3 linked regions of the Caenorhabditis elegans genome follow. The protein of the gene in region 1 purifies or fractionates together with the protein of each later gene. This does not show direct contact. Each region holds a gene or a part of one and is shown in the gene's direction. Other genes may lie near its edges. The genes, in order: smg-1, srbc-68 and F53F4.15.

The links.
Region 2: the proteins of smg-1 (region 1) and srbc-68 fractionate together in Caenorhabditis elegans (co-fractionation; one large-scale study listed by BioGRID). This does not show direct contact.
Region 3: the proteins of smg-1 (region 1) and F53F4.15 fractionate together in Caenorhabditis elegans (co-fractionation; one large-scale study listed by BioGRID). This does not show direct contact.

The regions. Positions count from the first base shown.
Region 1 is NC_003279.8:6,910,395-6,915,324, reverse strand, and holds the start of smg-1 (Serine/threonine-protein kinase smg-1), read left to right. Parts: upstream 1-1,773; coding exon 1,774-1,818; intron 1,819-1,865; coding exon 1,866-1,952; intron 1,953-2,006; coding exon 2,007-2,152; intron 2,153-2,198; coding exon 2,199-2,475; intron 2,476-2,518; coding exon 2,519-2,785; intron 2,786-3,070; coding exon 3,071-3,295; intron 3,296-3,685; coding exon 3,686-3,798; intron 3,799-3,877; coding exon 3,878-3,987; intron 3,988-4,034; coding exon 4,035-4,165; intron 4,166-4,234; coding exon 4,235-4,365; intron 4,366-4,409; coding exon 4,410-4,565; intron 4,566-4,623; coding exon 4,624-4,767; intron 4,768-4,930. Other genes in the region: haps-1 (Essential protein Yae1 N-terminal domain-containing protein), read right to left, coding at 69-266.
Region 2 is NC_003283.11:3,545,076-3,548,246, reverse strand, and holds srbc-68 (G-protein coupled receptors family 1 profile domain-containing protein), read left to right. Parts: upstream 1-1,629; coding exon 1,630-1,804; intron 1,805-1,845; coding exon 1,846-2,303; intron 2,304-2,348; coding exon 2,349-2,570; downstream 2,571-3,171. Other genes in the region: srw-130 (G-protein coupled receptors family 1 profile domain-containing protein), read left to right, coding at 1-88, 736-950, 996-1,137, 1,198-1,278.
Region 3 is NC_003283.11:13,618,885-13,622,039, forward strand, and holds F53F4.15 (Neuropeptide-Like Protein), read left to right. Parts: upstream 1-2,091; 5' UTR 2,092-2,122; coding exon 2,123-2,270; intron 2,271-2,316; coding exon 2,317-2,522; 3' UTR 2,523-2,592; downstream 2,593-3,155. Other genes in the region: srd-11 (G-protein coupled receptors family 1 profile domain-containing protein), read right to left, coding at 1-43, 88-241, 291-457, 692-802; F53F4.16 (uncharacterized protein), read right to left, coding at 2,698-2,757, 2,802-2,936.

The DNA.
Region 1 (4,930 bases):
TAAATTTTCTATTCGATTTAGAATTTTTTATATTAATCGATTTTCATGAAATTAAACAATTTCCTTACTTTGTACAACTGCGTGGTTCCCTCTGCAGCGCCTCTGAAATTTCTCCAAGAGGAGTCCGAATAGAGACGAGCCACAGCTTGAGCACATCCTTCAAAGTCATTCCACAGCTTATCGTTTTCCGTCAGATCCTCAGTACAATCACAACGACGGTGGGCACCGCCAGTTCTCGAAGAACAGCTCGAGTGATGATTCGACATATTATGCGAACTGAAAACATTAACATAATTTTTTATTAAAAGAAAGAACTGTCGGAAATCAAGTTCGAGAATATTAGAAAAAAAACGGGGAATTTTAAATGTTATAATTAATGTTTTCAACAAAGATTAGGCAATCGCGTGAGCAAGGTTTCATTCAACAAAACGAATATCGATTAGCTACACAATCTCATCAGTCTTTCAATTGCATGGGAGTTATGCTCCCCGAGCAAGTTCTAAGCGACTAATTTATCGATTTCTGGGTGAACATCAGCATCAGATGACGAAATAATTACAGAATAAAGATAGTTAGATGGAGAGAGTGAGAAAGATTGGAAAACGATTGGGTGCGTCCGGTCAAGAAATTGAGAGGAGAAGTTATCTTAAAGATGAAATGAAAAGATAGAAATGAAGGATTTATTGGTAAATTTGCAAGATTTGAGGTAAAAAATGAGTTATGGAAAATTTAAAACCAATTTTTCAAGGATGAGCAGTTGAAATATGAATGACTCATTACGAATACACTAGAGAAAAAGCTAATCGGGGAAATAAATGGCTGGGAAATTAATAATGTTTAAAAAACAGCTCTTGTAAAACTATTTTGTATTCAGAGTATGAAAGCAGGGCATAAAAGATAACTAAAAACATGAACGATTGGCGTCGAATCATTGCGAAAAACGTGGGTATACAGAGGCCGTTATTCGAGGTTTTCAGAATTATCAATTGAGATTCAATTGCATGTTTTCATAAAAACCGACAGGAATAAGCCATTTCTTCCGATTTTTTTTTCGAAATTTTGCGAAAATCGATGGGGAAACAATGAAAAAAGTGTCTGAAACGGGCAGAAAATGAGGAAAAGAGAGTAAAGAGAGAGAGCGGCCGAAACAAAACATTCGATTAGCAATGGAGCATGTTTGCTGACTCATGTGTCGACAGTTTAAATGCTTTTTGATCATCTGTTTATGAAGTTTTTCAACATTTTTATTGATTTTCAGAACTGGAGATTTTATTGCTATTTTTTAAGAACATAAAATCTAATTTTTTAGTGTGAGAAAGTTCTTTTAAAAGTATTAAAACAAAAGAAAAGCAACACGAGTACTGTATTAAAGGCGCATACCAAAAATCATGAGTCCGGTCTCACGAAGCGTTTGCACCACAATTAAAAGTGCCATTATCGATAGTTATCTTCTCAAATTAAAATTTGTTTCGTCTTTCCGGGTGCAAATCTATTTAAGCTTGAATTTTCATTAAATCACAATGTTTTATTTGCTTAAAACATTTTAACGTGACATTTTCATTTTCAAAGCTAAGTTTCCTTTTTTATTTATTTCTGACACGTGACGATGCTAGTCCGGCCGAGAAAAATGTTTAAAATCCTTAAACGGCCCGACACATTAAGGTATTTTGTTCTCGTTTATTCAATTTTCCCGATATTTGTATTCGTTTCTCAGGCTTTTTTCCTGTTTCAACTTTTATTTTCAGCCTATGCAACCTTCCGTGCGATCAAAAAATGATAACATCGAGAAACAATGATATTGGGAACCTGATAGAACAGGTAAATGTGATAAACGGAGAAAAGTATTTATTGTTAATCAAATTAAGTTTCGTCAACGTGACACGCCACAGAAGGAACGGAAAGCGATTCTCGCTAGAATCGAGGAGATTCTTCAAACTACGAAAAATGTAGAGGTTTGTTTTCCCTTCGGAAGCATTACGGAAAACCAAGAAATTATTATTTTACAGAGTCTTTGTGTAAAATGGACTTATCTTTTGGATAACTTGTGTTGGCCTAGTCTCACAAAACACGATCGGAATGACATGAAAACGCTGGCTGGAAAAGTGATACGACTTGTTGGAGTTTTACTCTTTGATACTGAATCCTATCCAGAGTTTGTGAATTTTGCCATTTGAAGATATAAAATAAAAATTTTTCAGGTTTCTGATTTATCTTGGAACATTATATCAAAGTGTTACGAAGAAAAGTGAAGAAACACGTGCGGATATCGTGTTTTCAGTGTATTTCATCGTTGGAGTCATCAGTCAAAAAACGGAGAATCGTCTAATTGCTACCGACACTGAAAATGTCGAAAAATCATTAGACTGGATAATCAAAGTGCTTCCGAATTCATCAATATCAGTTTATAACCACTGTTTGAAAGGATTTGTACTTGTTGCAAACACATTTCCAAATGTTTATGCTGCAATGTTTGAGGTATTTTATTTGAAAAATAATAAAAAAATTTCGCTTTTTCCAGTCAACCCTCCGAGCAATTCTGACCAACCTTCCCGATTTCAACAGTCATGAAAAGAATTTTGAGCTTCTCATTGATACAGTGATGCGATTTTCTGATCAACTTAATGAGAAGCCTCATTTGGCAGAAGAAATGGTTCGAATTATTCGACCGGATATCAAAAAGAATGGATTGGGAAATATGAGAGAATTGAAGAAACGAATGAAACTGACAATGGCACTCGTGAAAATGGCGAAAAGTCAAAAAATGCTTGAGGAGACTAATCAGATGGTGAGAATATGATGAGGGAACACATTATTTGCTGAAATATCTGAAAATTTCAAAAATAAATTATCTAAAAAAGCTTTAGAAAGGCAAATTCTCAAAAAGTTGAAATATTTATTTTGTTATTTGTGAATAATAAGTTCCAAGGACTTAATTTTGTTCTTTAAAGTGTGATATTGATTTTATTCAATTCATCTTTATTTTAAAATTCAAGTTCGTGGACCAAAAACAGATTTTCCCAACAAAAAGTTAACAAACTGCTTATTATTCTTTTTATTCAATAAATTTCAGATTTCTGAAATGTCTATCGAACTCGAGGAAAACGGAGGAAAATGGTCATCAGCTTCACTTATAACTATCGTTTGTGATGTTTTCAATGAGCTCTTGATATTGGGAAAAGATGATGTAAAATTGCAAAAAGGAGTTGAAGAATCATTGTGCAATGTTCTGAAAGACTTGAATCTTTCTAATCAGAGTACTATGGAGAAACAAGCATTTTTCAATTCTCTTGCAAAGGTTTGGTTTTTTGCCACAAAAATATCCGAAATTAGAGTATTACCCGAAATTTGGCGCTGAAACTAAAACTACGGTACTTGGTCTCGACACGACAACTTTTTGCTAAATGCGAAACGGTGTGCGCCTATTATTACTGTACTTTTAAACCCTTGTTGCTGCGGAATATTGCTATTTTTAAACGTTTTTTTCACGATTTATTAAAATTTATTTGAAAAACTATGATAAAACTTTGATGCACTGAACGAGAATTTGAAACTACTGTAACCTGTAAAGGTGTACATCATTCTGCATTTCCCAAAAATGTTTCGTGTCGAGCGTAGGTGCTGTATTGTTGGCGCAAAATGTTGCGTCTGGGTAATACAAGCTGCTGGTGTATGTAATTGATTTCAGATTGTCAAACAACTTCCAGCAGAGTCACAAGTCAAAACTAGAGTTCATCAGATTGTTTTCAACACGGAAACTGGACTTTTCACACCCAAAAACCGCGATAATCGAATGTTTGGGTGAGAAAAAGTTTTTAAGTCGATGCTCTATCGTATCGGGGAGTACGATGTTTTTCAAAATCAATTTTTATAATTTCAGACATAATATGATATACAAGGATCTTATCAATCTTGTCTCTGTGCTTCTTACGCCTACATCACTCAATCATCTACAAGCGACATATACGGATTTGAGGAAAATAATGATAGGTTAACTTTAATTAAATCTGTGAATTCAATTGATTAATTATTTCCAGATAGCATGTCACGATTGAAGCAAAGTGAAGATACTCCGTATAGTGATAATATTCGATGGAATGAATCAATCCTTTTGCTTTTCTTTTCGTCACTTCAAAGTATATCATGTGCCAAGAGTTCTCTTATTGTGGTTTGTTTAAAAATAACAATTATTTTCGCAGAAAACAACGATTTTTAACAATTAAAGAACAAATTTTAGATGATGGGAATCCGTCCGTCAATTTTTGAATTCTTCTCATCGGAACTTCCACTCACAGAATATTGGCTTGCTTCAAATCATCCAGAAGTCTATCACCTATTTATCACAATATTTGTTGGACATTTGAAAGCGTGAGTATGACAGAATAAATACTTTAATAAATCAATTCTTTCAGTCACGACTTCTACATTGTTCAATCTGATTATATTGTTCGTGGTGATAGCATTGGACAAAGTATAGGACAAACGAAACGAGATTATGCACGGAAACAAGTTGTTGCTCTACAGAAAATTATCAACAATTTTGGAGACAAATTGTGGAAGAAGACTAGGTTTATTCTTGAGCATTCATTATATTTTATTTTCAATTTTTAATAAATTGTGATTCAGACTGATGATATCTTCATGGCTTCACTCTCTCATTGCAACTGCTTGTGAACATCAAATCGGAAGTGATAGTTTCAGTCAACGAGAATGGGTTCGATTAAGGAATACTGTCATTCATCAGTCGGTGCTCACATGGAATAATGAATGGTATACACTTGAATTGCTTGAATTTCTAGCAGTTTTCACATTTTCTCAATCATTTGTACCAAGCAACACTTGCTGGAAAATCAAAAAAAAATCAATTTTTAAAATATCCCGCTACGCGCCCAACATTGAAATATATAATTCCTGGGACTTCTTTTTGGAATTT
Region 2 (3,171 bases), on another chromosome or scaffold:
ATATGCCATTCTTCTATCAAAGTTGTACTCCAAAAATGACGGGTTTCTGATAAAACTATATTCCACATCAAATGCAATGATTTCTCATGTAAGTTTTTTTAAAACTGTAATGGTACCGTGGGTATACTGTATGATTACTGTAGTTTCAGAAATATGAGCTTTCGTTTTTGTAAGAGATATTTGGGGATAGTGTCGGGGTACTGTAGTAGTACTTTAGGGGTACTGTAGGAGTACTATAAGATTACTGTAGTAATTGAGGTTTTGTCTTTTGAAGAGACAGTGCCGAGTTACTGTAATAGTGATGTAGGAGTACTGTAGGAATACTGTAATTCTAGAAATTTGAGTTATTGTTTTTTCAAAAGAATAGTGAGGGATAGTGGCGGGGTACTGTAATGGTACTGTGGAAGTAATGTCGTAATAGGACTACTGTAGCTCTATTTATTTGATTTTTTGTTTTATGAAAAGATAGTGTCGGGTACTGTAGGAGTCCGAAGTGGTACAGTAGGGGTACTGTAGGGACACTCTAGGAGTACTGTAGAATTATTTTAGTTCTAGAAAAATTTAGTTTCTGTTTTTACAAGAGATACTTGGAGATAGTATCGGGGTACTGTAGAAGCTGTAGGATTACTTTAATACTGGAAATTTGAGTTTTTTCATTTGAAGTGATAGTGGGGATAGTGTCAAAGTAGTGAGGGGTTACTGTAAGGGTTACTGTAGATCGCAACAAATTTTCAGATCATTCCTTCGATTCTCTTTCCTATAGTCACATTTTTTCTTGTAAACGTCCTACGAAAAGCTAAAAAATCTCGGAAACTGGTATCCAAGACCGATAGTAATACGAAGTCTACAAAAATCATAATCTATACAGCGATTATTTTTCTAATTGTTGAGCTTCCACTTGGAATCAATCTGGCGATCATTTGGTTTTTCAATAATTCCGTTGGAATCAAGTAAGTTTGACGGCAAAAAATTGGCTGAAACAGCTAGCTTTTCAGGCTGATTCTTGATCAATTTGAAGCTCTTTTTTATATGCTACTTACCGCAAACACAATTTCCCATTTCTTTGTTTGTTTCGTCTTGTCTTCACAATACAGGGCAACACTGATAGATGTAGTGTCGTGCGGGATAAGTTTCCAGGTAGGAATAATTTTGAGCGAATTTGAAAAAGGAGCCGGTATGAACTCAATAAATTTTCAGAAGAACAGAATTGGAAATCTTTGCAAAAGTCGAAAAAGTTCACAACAAAATGTTATAACAGTAAATGCAATATCAATATGATCCATCATCTTTATAAGTCACCAAAGTATTATTTTCCATAAAATGAAGCAGCGTCCGACAAATGGCGGGTTCTGGCTCCCAAGTAATAATAATTTTTCGTCCAGTAATCAAACAATTCCTTCTAACATTGAACTTTTTTATTATTTTAGTTAGAGTAAGAATAAAACCCTATACAACTACTTGTGGTTGTGAAATAACTGCACAACGGAAATTATCTCATATTCTAGTGAGGCTTGTCACAAATGCTATCGATACTATTGTAGAACTTGCTGATAGCTGAGAAACGTCTGAAACCCTACGAAAAGTAACTTCTGTTCACAAAAACATTTTACTATTAAAGAGCCCAGAATAATGTCAACTATTGTTTTTATATATTCCTTTATTACTGTCATAGTCTGTTACTCAAATATTTGCCTAAATTTGATCCTTTTATTAGCAATTTTCTGCTCTAAAAGAGTCACTTTCAAATCTGAATTGTCTCTTTTCTATACAAGATTTGCTGCAGATATTGGATACAGTATTTCTAGTAAGTTTTTGAAAATCTAATTCAATTCAATTTTGATTCAGTTAGTAATTTCAAATTGTACATTTTGGCGGTTATGATTTCGGAAATATTTGCCGTTAAAAATTTCATTTTCATCACACTATGGCTTACTATTATATTTGGAATCATTCGAACAAGTCTATTATTTTTAACTACTTTGGATCGAGTCATTTCTCTATTCTTCCCTTTCTTCTATTGCGCAAACCGTAGCAAACTTCCACTATTTGCCATTTTTATTCTAATTTTTTCCTTGATAATTTTCGATCAAATTATCATGTTCGGATATTGTGGGAATACTATTGATACTCCCATGAACTGCGACCATTTCCGTTGTTCTTTCAATGAGTGCTACAGTATTTATTGGGTAGAGCACGAAAAAATTGTATTCAGTATGATCGTCGTTTTGACAGTATTGCAATTAGGGAAACTTGTTGTTTACACTGTTCTTGCACAGAACCAATCGGCTCAAGTTTATTCAAGAGTAAGGTGCTGTACCTTTAAAATATAAGCAATTCATAAATTTAAGGCTACCCAAATAGCTATGCTTGACTCAACAACTCTTATTTTATTCAATCTTGTTCCGGTCATGTCTACTTTTTGGTTTGAATCAGCTGATTATGAAACGTATTCGTCGTTTGCAACTCTCTCTAGAAATCTTGGATTTTTAATCAACACATTGATCATTTTTCGAATATTCATGAGAGATAAAAATAATACAGTGACAGCATTAACATCACCCAATTCTTAAGAACTTAATTTTTTTAAAATAAATGAATAAAATTGCTTCAAACTATTGCTTTTGGTTTTTTAGTAAATGTGTAAAGAATTGTACGTTGAAGGTCGCATAAAAAACTACCTTCAAATTATTAATTAATCCTATTTTTATCGACTGACGTTCTTGTTGTTTTTTTTAATTTTTATATTAACACATTAACACAAAAGATAAATTATCCAATTTGATAAAAATGAAATCCCGGCAGCGTCGTTTGAGTAATGTTTTTGCCTAGCCTGTCTGCACTTCATTTTAAAAATGCAATTATTATTGGTTTTATAGTAACAATGAAACGCATTCATATTTAATGCACTTTCTGTTCTTGGCCTGTACAATTAAGCTATTAGACAACTGCGTGAAAGGTATCTGCTGAACGGAAATTAACTAATATATTATTTACACAAAAGTTGAGTATTATTATCTTTTTGTCCCTAACAATAACATTATGTTTCCTATTTTCACAGTCATAACCAGTTACGTAACAGTCTATGAAATCGTGAGAAAAGCTAGATAATTGAATATTTTAAGATGTTATACTTTTTTTTTATTTTCAGTTTTCACAGACAATACTAATAAA
Region 3 (3,155 bases), on another chromosome or scaffold:
GCTTCATTTCATCTGCGTCATCGTCTGCCCACAGAAATGTTATCTTAAAAGTATCAGCTTGAAATCTAAATTGTTTCACATTATTACCATTTGGATAATTGACGGAATTGATATAAACATAAGAATTACTATCAAAGCTTTTCTCGTTGGTGCCGGATGAAACAGGATATAATATCGATATGAGAACCCCATTAGCAATGACCATAGACCATGAGCTACTAATGAAATGTTTATGCTGTATCTGAAATTAAGAAAATGAAGCGTGTCGGGGAATATGTATTATGGTGTACATAAAATAGCAGACATGGGGTCCAAAATAAGTGCACAGTCCACGTGACAAATAAGCCATTGTAAATCCAGCCGGAATATGCCGCATTTGAATGAAAAGATCTGTGAAACAGGCGAGGAAATCGGTCAATGCAAAGTTTATGAGAATTGTGGTGTAAGCGGCGATTGTCTGGAAATGGAAACTGATGTTTGAAGGTTGAAATTGCTTGTCTATGTGATGAGGAATTTCTGCAGAACATTTCCAGCTATCCCACACCTAGTTATAATGGCAGAGTTCTGTAGAAAGCTGAGCCTATATTACGAGATTTGCACAGTTTTTACCAAACTGGGAACTAAAGCTCTCAAATTTTGATTTTAATCTATATTTTATGATTAGTTCAAAGATTTTTCACGAAAAACTAACCTTCGGAGTCCGAAAAAGTGCCAAAAAGAGCACAATTGAATTGAGAATGCAGCCAGAAACTCCGGCAAACGTATGGAAAGAAAGGAAGAATAATGTGATAGAGTCCAGCATTTTTCAAGTTTTTCTGAAAGTGAAAAAAAAAATGGTAAAAGCTCTCTCTTAAATATAAATTTTTCAATAGAAAGAAAATCTTTATTTTAAGGCTTCACTGGAACGATGACTGTGAAGATTATGGTTACAGAATGATTATATTGTTCTAAGGAATGCTAAGAATTTTGCAAAATAAATAATTTTTTGGGAACTAGATTTTCCGTAATCCGTAAAAAAGTAAACAATTATCATATCTATTCACTCGACTTTTCGAAAAAGGAAGGAAAACACATCATGTGCACGTAAGATATCTCTATTTATGCTTCCTCGTGATGGCTCTCAGAGCTGTTAATTGCTTCATTCAGTAGAAAGCGTCTGGCGTACCTGAGAATATATGTACTGTTTGAATTACTCATAGTCTGGGATATATCTGTGTCGTTTCGTATTATATCAATAGTCTAGAACATTAAGTTAACTTGATGTTCTAGACAATTGTCAAAAAAAATTTACAGATCATCAAAATAGCGACGCCTTAATCATATTAAATCTATTACATAGATGTCTGAAGATGATAATTTTTGCCATATCTTACGCGCTTGGGTCTCGCCACGCTGACTACTGACTACTGTAACTCGTGCTGATTTATGACTGATCATGTTTTTATTTAAAAATTTTAGAAGCAATGTTTCATTTGAAACGAAAATTATAATGCATTATTACAGTAACTCGTTGTCAGCGTGGCGAGACCGTGCGCATAAGTATTTAAGATGTGGCGAAAATTCTTATCTTTAGATGTCTAGAATGCGTATTGCGCAAAATATTTCGCGCTACAGTAGTAATTTAAATATTTTCTGTAGTTTTCGCTACGAGATATATTGCGCGTCAGATATGTTGCACAACACGCATTCTCAGAAAGTAGTGATCTCGTAATAATACATTTGGTTAAGGCGATGTCCACGAATTACAAAATTTTATGAGAAAAATATAGGCAAGTTTTAAGAATTCATTCTTGTTCTCTTTCAGAGGTAAATAACGATTGGCTTTTACGCTGAGAAATTGGAAGTGAAACGGTAGAAGTTAAATCCAACCTACAACCTAATGCATCGTTATTCAAAAATTATGTTGTTATTTGGAAAACCTGATAAATCTGAACTATTTATATTTTTAAAGTTAATTTTCAATTAACTTTATTACATACAAAAATGCATTGCGAATCCAGTTCGCCCATATTTTTCAATCTGTCGAGATCACTGAGATATCACCAAAAAATCGTGTTTTCTTGAAGTTTTTCACCTAATCGTCTTTTCCATATTTCTCTTTCCCATTGTATGATTATCAATAATGTTTTCTCTTCATCTCTCTATTCTTTGCTTCACTCTCCTGATTGGTTATTCTATTGAAATGCCACCTGGTCGAATGTGCCTTCCGGAAAGAGTCAATTTTCGTAAAGTCTGGCCATGTGAACATGATAAAACTGCTGCCGAGATTTGTAGGTTTCACGGAGAAGTTGTAGAATTTAATATTACTTTTTGAAGTAGAAGAACGGGAAGATCGTGAAGCAAATCTTCGTGGAGCTCCGTCTGCATTTGCTCGGACAGGATTCTATGATCGTCTATTTCTTCAACAAAATCTTCCAACTGTCTATGATGATAATATTCCATATTATCCTAATTATGGCTACAATCCCAACAAGCCAGTCTGGGGATTGTATCGTTATTCTAACTATTTCATCAATCCATAATTAAATAATTTTAATGAATGAATAAATTTAAAATGATAACAAACAACGACTAAAAACTAAAAGAAAAAAACGAAAAGGGCCTATGGGGGAAAACTCAAAACCAATGATAATGGCGGAAAAATACTCGTATTTGACAAAAATTCGGAGAATGATGAGGAATTGCACATCGATAGATCTAGTTTTTGACGATTGCCGGATGTAGAATCTCGTCACGAAGTGATTTTCCGCCAAGAACCTAAATATATTTCATTAACTGCAACTAATTAGATTTAATTTTACCTGTGCTCTGTCTGGAATATAACTTTTGTAGTTGATCGCCACATATGTAGGATATGTGAGTGCACATACAGTATAATAAGCTCGTAGCAAGGTCATTCGAGCAGGCCGTTCCAGGTGATACCAGGGTAAACTCATCTGGAATAAAAGTCATGAAGTCAAGAAAAATTAGTTCTTTTATGGGTAGAATGAAAGATTCAACTCAATTTTTCAAAATTTAGAAAATCACCGAAAATCACAAAAATTGGTAAAATTGATAATTTTTCAACAAAAAAGTGAATTTCTATGTAGTTTTATTCATGTTTCGTTGACGTTTTTTTAAGTTCGAAATTAATGAGATTTTTTAATTTCTTCTCG